Linked DNA regions of Saccharomyces cerevisiae S288C. The gene in region 1 interacts genetically with each later gene. Each region holds a gene or a part of one and is shown on either strand. Other genes may lie near its edges.

The links. Genes that interact genetically often act in the same process or in processes that back each other up.
Region 2: mutations in TFS1 (region 1) and YHR212W-A together harm fitness less than expected from each alone (positive genetic interaction), as found in Saccharomyces cerevisiae (one large-scale study listed by BioGRID).

The regions. Positions count from the first base shown.
Region 1 is NC_001144.5:512,036-516,355, forward strand, and holds TFS1 (Tfs1p), read right to left. Parts: upstream 1,787-4,320; coding exon 1,127-1,786; downstream 1-1,126. Other genes in the region: YLR177W (uncharacterized protein), read left to right, coding at 1-905; YLR179C (uncharacterized protein), read right to left, coding at 2,073-2,678; methionine adenosyltransferase SAM1, read left to right, coding at 3,227-4,320. UniProt on the Saccharomyces cerevisiae protein: Specific and potent inhibitor of carboxypeptidase Y.
Region 2 is NC_001140.6:535,984-540,040, reverse strand, and holds YHR212W-A (uncharacterized protein), read right to left. Parts: upstream 1,300-4,057; coding exon 1,096-1,299; downstream 1-1,095. Other genes in the region: YHR213W (uncharacterized protein), read right to left, coding at 294-890.

The DNA.
Region 1 (4,320 bases):
TCATCTCCACTGCTGTTTCAAACGCTTCGTCGACCGGGGCGGCCAAATCCAAGAACAGCACTTCAATGCATTTGCACTATAAGCCATTAGTGTTAGTATCGTTGAAAAATGGTAAGCTCGAACTGTTGTCTAAACCACAAACGGCCACACTTATACTGAAAAGGGGCGATTTGGTCATTATTGATGGTGATCGTGGTAAAGATTTAGTTTTGGTGGTGGAACCGGTTGTAGATATAAATTTGGCACTATTTATAAATTTTTTGAAGAAAAAAATTCACTTTGATTCTCTAATCACCAATAGTCAACAGCATTTCCCCAATGACCAGTTTATCAAGACTCTGGTTGATACAACCAATGGTAAGCCGGTCGCTCATGAGTTGAATCCGAAGTTATATGATATCATTGAACTAACGCAATTGATCATCCCATCAAAGCAGGTTCTGAGATTTGCCACCCCGTGGGAATCCTCCACGAATTTACACAACAAATTCCAGGATGAGCTAAAGGCTCTTCACATTGCACAGCTAAAACTGAGGTCGCTAAATAACAATAACTCCGGTGGCGGGTTGAACATCAAAATATTGAATGCAGAGTTCCAATTCGACAGAAAGAAATTGACTTTCTACTACATTTGCCAGGAGCGTAATGATTTCAGAGACCTGATCAAAGAACTCTTTAAGTTTTACAAAACAAGAATTTGGCTTTGTGCTATACCGAACAATTTATCGATAGATTCCAAATTTTATGATTCAAACAAGTTTGAGTGGGAGATGTATCAGGATATGATGTCCCACTATTCCATGGACAACACTGGAATTGTCGTGGCCCCTGAACTGAATCGCTTGAAACTGGACGACTTCCAGATCGGTGTTTATATGGAATTGGTGAAGGTTTTGTTCGGCTAACCCAAACTTATATAATCATTATAAACATTTTATAAACTTATACACTTTTTTAATAATCTCACCATGTTTTTCTTATGTGTTTTGTTTGACAATGACATTACTCCCTACAAACATGTGCGCGTTTGTGACAAAAACATAAATAAAACAAAAATAATAAAAAGTCAAGTGAAAAGCACTGAAATCTAAAAAATAAATACATATACATATATATATATATATACCTATTTCGTTTCCGCATAGAAGAAATTGGAGGCAACTAGTTGCAGGTTGTTTTCCTTAGCCCATTTGCCAACACCGGTGGCAGGGGTGCCGTAACCCCAGTTCGGTCTATCCTTAATTTTCGAGAACTTAGATGAGTCCACGCCCTTAGGCTGCTTATATAACAAGAAAACATATCTGTGGGGACCGGATCCCTTGGGTGGAGCTGGTCCCATATATTCTATTAGTGTGTTCGAGCCCTTCGTATTGAACTCTGATGCAAAAAATTCGGTTGCTCCGGAGGTCTCGTGAGTAGCCTCATTCAACAGCTTTAAGTCGCATTCTACCAAGTGGCAGAATTCAGACCACTTGTGATCTGTCTTAGAGGGAGCATCCGGATCGGTCATTACCAGTGTGAACAAATCGTCGTCTTGGGGAACGTACGCATTCGCCTGTGGTACGCTTTTTTGCATTTGCTTATTGAACGTGAACTGGAATTGGGGCTTGGAACGTGCCTTCTCAGTGGGCAGCGTGTTACCCATGGCAACAGGTGCACTTGATGAGTACTCTACGGCAAGTATCCCGGAGGGTTGAAAGCTTGTGTCATGAATTACATCCTCCAGAATGCCGTGCTTCTTGTAGGAGTCAATGCTTGCTTGTGCGAAGTCTATTGCTTGGTTCATGTTTTTTGCTTGTTCTCTTGTTCTTGTATTGATGCACTGGTAGGGAAAAGGAGCACTGCAATTCGTTTCTTGCTGCCCCCTTTTTATATACCAATTGAGATCTTTCCTTCCCTGAACAGCCCCTCTATCCCTTAAAAGATAGAAAAGTTCAAAGGGATAGGAAAAATCAACGAGCCAAAAAAAAAAAAAACGGAACCGTTCGGCATGTATATATTCACTATTTCATATACGCGTTTGCACAATATACTCTATCTTATCCGTATCTATACGAGCCGGTTGCTGCACCTTACATGTCATAGTTGAAATCAACGGTCGTGTTTTCGACCATGTAATAATTGGCACCGACCAGTTGCAGATTGTTCTCCTTGATATAGTCATAGGCACCCGCACCAGGAGTACCGTACCCCCAGGAGATAATGTTCTCAACCTTGGTAAAAGTGGACGAATCCGCTCCCTTGGGTTGCTTGCACAGGAAGAACACGTATCTGTGATAACCGGAGTTCTTTGGTGGACCAGGCCCAATATAGTTATTTCTCACGACACCCTTCCCCGAAATGGCAATATCTCCCCCAGGTCCGTACTCGACAGGAATATCAGTGATGATGTAGTGACAAACCTCCGACCACTTATGTTCTGTTCTAGAGGGCGCGTCCGGGTCAGTCATCAACAAAGCGAGTTTATCCTCGGCTGACAATTGGCTTTTATCGAAGGGCGTGAACTTGATGGTAGGAGCGGCTTGCGTAGCTTCCATTGGCATGGGATTGCCCAATTTGATGTCGTCAGAATCAACGTACGAAACCGACAACTCACCAAGAATCTCGAACGCCAAGTCCTTGACGGTGTCCTTAATGATGTCCTCTTTGTTCAGTTTAGCAACGATGGCACTAGACATAATATATATTTCTATTACTAAGTACTCGGATGGGTACCGAAAGTGGCAGATGGGCAGTGTTTACTCAAACAATTGATGGCAACATTCAATTCCTCACCTGGTGCGCACTTCCAATAATGAGCACGCTTGGCACTTTTATATTGTTCAAAAAAATGTCAGGCAAGATCTTTTGAAAAAAAGGTACCGAAACGGACGTAAGACGGAAATAGAATTTGAAGATAAAGTTATATATCACTACACACGAATACTTTCTTTTTTTTTTTTCACAGGAAAACTGTGGTGGCGCCCTTGCCTACTAGTGCATTTCTTTTTTCGGGTTCTTGTCTCGAGGAAATTTTAGCCTCATCGTAGTTTTTCACTCTGGTATCGATGAAAAAGGGAAGAGTAAAAAGTTTTCCGTTTAGTACTTAATGGGATTGGTTTGGGACGTATATATCGACTGGTGTTGTCTGTTATTCATCGTTGTTTTTCGGTTAGCTTCGAAAAAAAAATAGAGTAAAAACCAGGAATTTACCCTAAAAACAAGAAAAAATAAGATAAACGAAAATATGGCCGGTACATTTTTATTCACTTCTGAATCCGTTGGTGAAGGTCACCCAGATAAGATCTGTGACCAAGTTTCCGACGCCATCTTGGACGCTTGTTTAGCCGAGGACCCTCACTCCAAAGTTGCGTGTGAAACCGCGGCAAAGACTGGTATGATTATGGTCTTTGGTGAAATTACTACCAAGGCACAGTTGGATTACCAAAAAATCGTCAGAGACACCATCAAGAAGATTGGTTACGATGATTCCGCCAAGGGTTTCGACTATAAGACCTGTAACGTCCTTGTCGCCATTGAGCAACAATCTCCAGATATCGCCCAAGGTGTCCACGAGGAGAAGGATTTGGAAGACATCGGTGCCGGTGACCAAGGTATCATGTTTGGTTACGCCACAGATGAAACTCCAGAGGGTTTGCCTTTGACTATTCTTTTGGCTCATAAACTAAACATGGCCATGGCTGACGCGAGAAGAGATGGCTCTTTAGCGTGGTTGAGACCAGACACCAAGACTCAAGTCACCGTCGAATACAAGGATGACCACGGTAGATGGGTTCCACAAAGAATCGACACCGTCGTCGTCTCCGCTCAACATGCTGACGAAATCACGACCGAGGACTTAAGAGCGCAACTAAAGTCCGAGATCATTGAAAAAGTCATCCCAAGAGACATGTTGGACGAAAACACCAAATACTTTATCCAACCTTCCGGTAGATTCGTCATCGGTGGTCCTCAAGGTGACGCTGGTTTGACCGGTAGAAAGATCATCGTCGACGCTTACGGTGGTGCCTCATCCGTCGGTGGTGGTGCCTTCTCCGGTAAGGACTACTCTAAGGTTGATCGTTCTGCCGCTTATGCCGCTAGATGGGTTGCCAAGTCCCTAGTTGCCGCTGGTTTATGTAAGAGAGTTCAAGTTCAATTTTCTTATGCCATCGGTATTGCGGAACCATTGTCCTTGCACGTTGACACCTATGGTACTGCGACCAAGTCTGACGAAGAAATTATCGACATTATCAGCAAGAACTTTGACTTGAGACCTGGTGTATTGGTCAAGGAGTTGGACTTAGCTAGACCAATCTACTTGCCAACCGCTTCTTATGG
Region 2 (4,057 bases), on another chromosome or scaffold:
AATTCGAGAAGTTGAACAGCTTTGGATATTACTGATAAAGAGATGTTTGCCTTGGGGGGCTACTACGGTAATAAGCGTCTTGTCGCTAATGACATGCCAGCAATCACTAAGATTGTTTCGCTCTCAGAAGAACCAGAGGTGGAACTACTGGTTTGAATGACGGATGATTTAGATGATTCAGAGAATGTAGAAGTGGAGGTCGTTGCAGAAGAAGAAATGACCGAGGAAGACATGACTGAGGAAGAAACTACAGAAGTTCCATTGCTGCGATAGAATGGAGTAATAATTGGATGCTAAGACGTGATAGAGCTGGTGATTTGTTCTGAAGAAGATGATGACAAACTGGATGAGGTGGCAGTGGTTGGAGCTTTGGCAACAATAACGGTTTCGTCAGTTGGTTGACCATTAGTACCGGTGACGGTGGTCATTTCAGTAGATGTAGAAGTAAAAGTACCAGTCCACAGTTCGGTAGTAGTTGTGACGATGCTAGTAGTATGTTTTGAAGGATCAGGGATAGTACAATTTGACTGACTTAAATCATCGTCAAAAGAGTAAACGTACCCTTCAAAGTCATCACTAACAGTAGTACCATCAGGCAATTCCACGCTAATTGGAAGCGTGCCCCAGGAAACGGCATTGGAGTAAACAACCTTCAGCGGATAATAGTAGCCTGCATACATGTAGACAGTCCCTCCGATGTTATCAGGCAAACTTCCTTGCCATGGCTTAATACCATTGATTGTAAAATCCGTCGATGTAATTGGAGGTTGTTCTTGTGCACAACATTCGAACGCAACGTTACCACCGACTGATAGAATTGCAGAGTCATCGACCTTAGCAAACCTGAACGTGTAAGAACTTGTTTGTGGTGGTAAAAAGTAACCTGTCATTTCTAGAGTAGCGTTTTTTGGGATAGTAAGAAACCAAGTAAATCAGTACTCCAATAGGTCTTTCTTGGCTATTTTGAACATTCACTATGACCTCTGCATCCCCAGTTTCCATAAGCATCTGATTGAGCACATTTAAAAGTTCCTGAAGAGATAACACAAGAAAGATCGTAGTCAATTGAGAAATCCGTCTGTCCGCCAACGGAACCTAATTCCAATTCGAGGCATATCCAGAAGTCATATATTGCGGGTAGGAATACGTTGTTGAATCCAGTAATGAGTATTTATAAAAGTTGACATTCATCCCATTTTTCCTCGGGCCCACTGGCAGGCATGCTTGTGTACTTCCTGAAACAACATTGGACGTGGCCAGGTAGGTGAAGAGTGCCAAAAATAAATAGTGATAAGGCATTTCTTGGTTCGTCAATCAGGTATGGGTATATTAAACAATAACTTTTAGCCATGCTGTTAATGATGAAAATTTTGATGCTGGTCTCTTCATATGTCATTGTTTTGGGAACTGTCTTTTTTCGATCAGATGTATGCGCTACGATTTGTTTAGCGTAGTGATGTTCCTGCGCTGTATTTAGGAAATTTTGGTATCGAAACGTCCCTACAACACTTTTTGTCGCTGATATCTGCACATGCGAGTAACGCCGATTCCATTACATTATTACCTTCCACTTCCCAGAAACGATTTATTACGACTCAACAAGTTCAAGAAAAAAATTAAAAAGGTTACAACCACATTTTGCGTTTAGGTGCAGCGAGGCTTACCTTGATGCAGTCCTAAAGAGTCCTGCAGCAGTTGTAACGAATCCTATTTGCTTTTATGCATTCCTAAACGGGCTGAAGTATAAGTCTTGAGGAACTCCGGGAGAAGATACGATAAGCTCTGAAGTGCCAAATTTTATTATCAAAAAAAATATTTGTACAAGCGGAAAAGGAGTATACTCTTCCTCTTTTGCTTCATCACAAGAGGATCATTTTGACGTTGTCTGTTGTACTACTTCTTTATCGGCGTGCGCAGGAAAAGAAAGAAAAAGGAAGGAAAAAGAGATGTCAAAAACCGATGTCAAAAAATCTCGTGAGGCCTCCGGAATTTTGACGCTGCAAGTCAATCTACGGGAAAGAAGAAATTTTTTAAACTTAATGCAAAATAAGCTTTTTTCTTGGAAAATAAGATTTTCGGCAATAAAAGGTAAATGCAGCCAAAAATCAAAATACTTCAGAAGAAGTCGTAGCGAGGACTGCTACGTGGAAGCGGATTTGAAGATCCTTTCCAGAACAAGAAGGAGCCGAAAGCTGCCAGGAACTGTTCCTGATTTTTTAGGAAAACAATTAATAGGTATCTCGTCTAGCGTAGTATCTCGAGTTTCCAGAAGTTGCAGATAATCAAAATCATTGTTTTATCGCTTTTTTTAAATTACAGCTTAGAAGAGTAGAGAGCAAGTTTACTGAAACGGTTCCTTGTTTACAATAATATTCCTAACAAACTTCACGAATTAGGATGCAGCATGATTTTTTATCTTGCTTCACTTCCTAAAGTATGAATTTTTATCCGTAGTCGCAACCAAAACAGCTACTGGAAATTTGCAGCTTGTTAAAAACCGGTAGTTTCCGAATACTCCTCGTCCTTGAGTTGTATACCGTTAAACTTCCTAGGGTATCATGTGTCTGGCCCAAAATTGACCCACAAAATCTGGTCCTATTGACGGTCTTCTTTTGATTTTCAGCATCCTACTCTAAGAAGGACAGAAAATTATGAAATATATGGGAGAAACGGCCTCCCAACTGCTAAGTGTTCCCGGCAGCACGAGTAAGCAAAATTCAGGCAACCTATTGCATTAAGAAGCCCTACATAATTCAGCGTGATATGATGGAGTTTTGTTAATTGCAAATTTTAGTACGATTTGGTTGTTAGTGTGTGTTTATGCAAGTAATTATTGAACCCTAAGTAGTTACTGTCTTCTTTTGCTGTAATTCGTGGATTCATGGCCCTCCAGCAACATGGATTGAAAGGTTCTTTAAAGTTTTTAATCCGTAAAGTTCTGAAATGTATTTTAATCATGTCAATAATTCAACTGGTGGGTAGCATTTATGACCAAAAGCGTACTTAAATTAGCAGCAAAAAAATTTTTAATAACGAAACTATAAGGAAAAAAAAATACGAGGTACTGATTATGAGAGTTCCAGTTTCTCATTTTTGAGACATGATCTGAACAAGGCTGAAAACAGCAATCTTTTTCAATAACTTTTGCAAAAATTTCAAACATTGTTGTTTGAATGCAGCTAATTTTTATAGAGTACAGAGCTCAATGCTTTACATGTGCTTTATTTCCGGTACTTTTCTTAAAATGTCTACATTTTCTCTCAGGACTTGAATGTCTTCGGCTGCATTACTATAAAATCTTGAGTTCCTAAGACGATAGTGGTGAGTGATGTAGTTCGCGTGTGTGCCACTGGTAATAATAGAGATAACTATCTCAGTTAAGTTTGAAAAGGTAAAGAATAGTCATTTTTTGCGACAGTCATTCTTCTCTGATGCACGTTCTTTAGACTACCTATAAACACCATTCTTACGGAATTATAATGGAAATAACACATCATTACGTGTTTCTGTCGGTGATAGAGGGGTAATAGAACCTTAATTGAAAAATTAGCACAGTGCATAATTTATTAACATGATTGTTATCTGTGGAAAATAAGAAATTCAGCACCAGTAAAAAACGAGGAATATAGGCACATAAATGTGCTCTTACTCGTATGTTCCAGGATGAAAATGTTTAGGGCATCAAGTATTGCCGAAAGGGCAATATGCTTTAGCACCAGAAAATCCACTGTATACTCATTACGGGTAAACAAAGCAAAAGGCAGTGCGTGATAATGTTTCTAAAATCTCTGTACACTGTTGAAATGCGGCTCTGATACTTTAGCCCTTAGTCCCTGATGGTGCCTAAAATGAGGATAAGTATATGAGTTTACAACGAATATAATGCTTTTTACCTCATCATATAAAGAATAATATCAATTTCAAAATAAAAATTAGACCCAGGTGGTAATGAGGAATGCGTCCTAATGAATTTATGTAGTCGATGCTTTTGCAGCATTTTTTTTTGTATTAATCAAAGTGCACTACGTGACAAAAATAAAAAGTGTATGAAAACAAA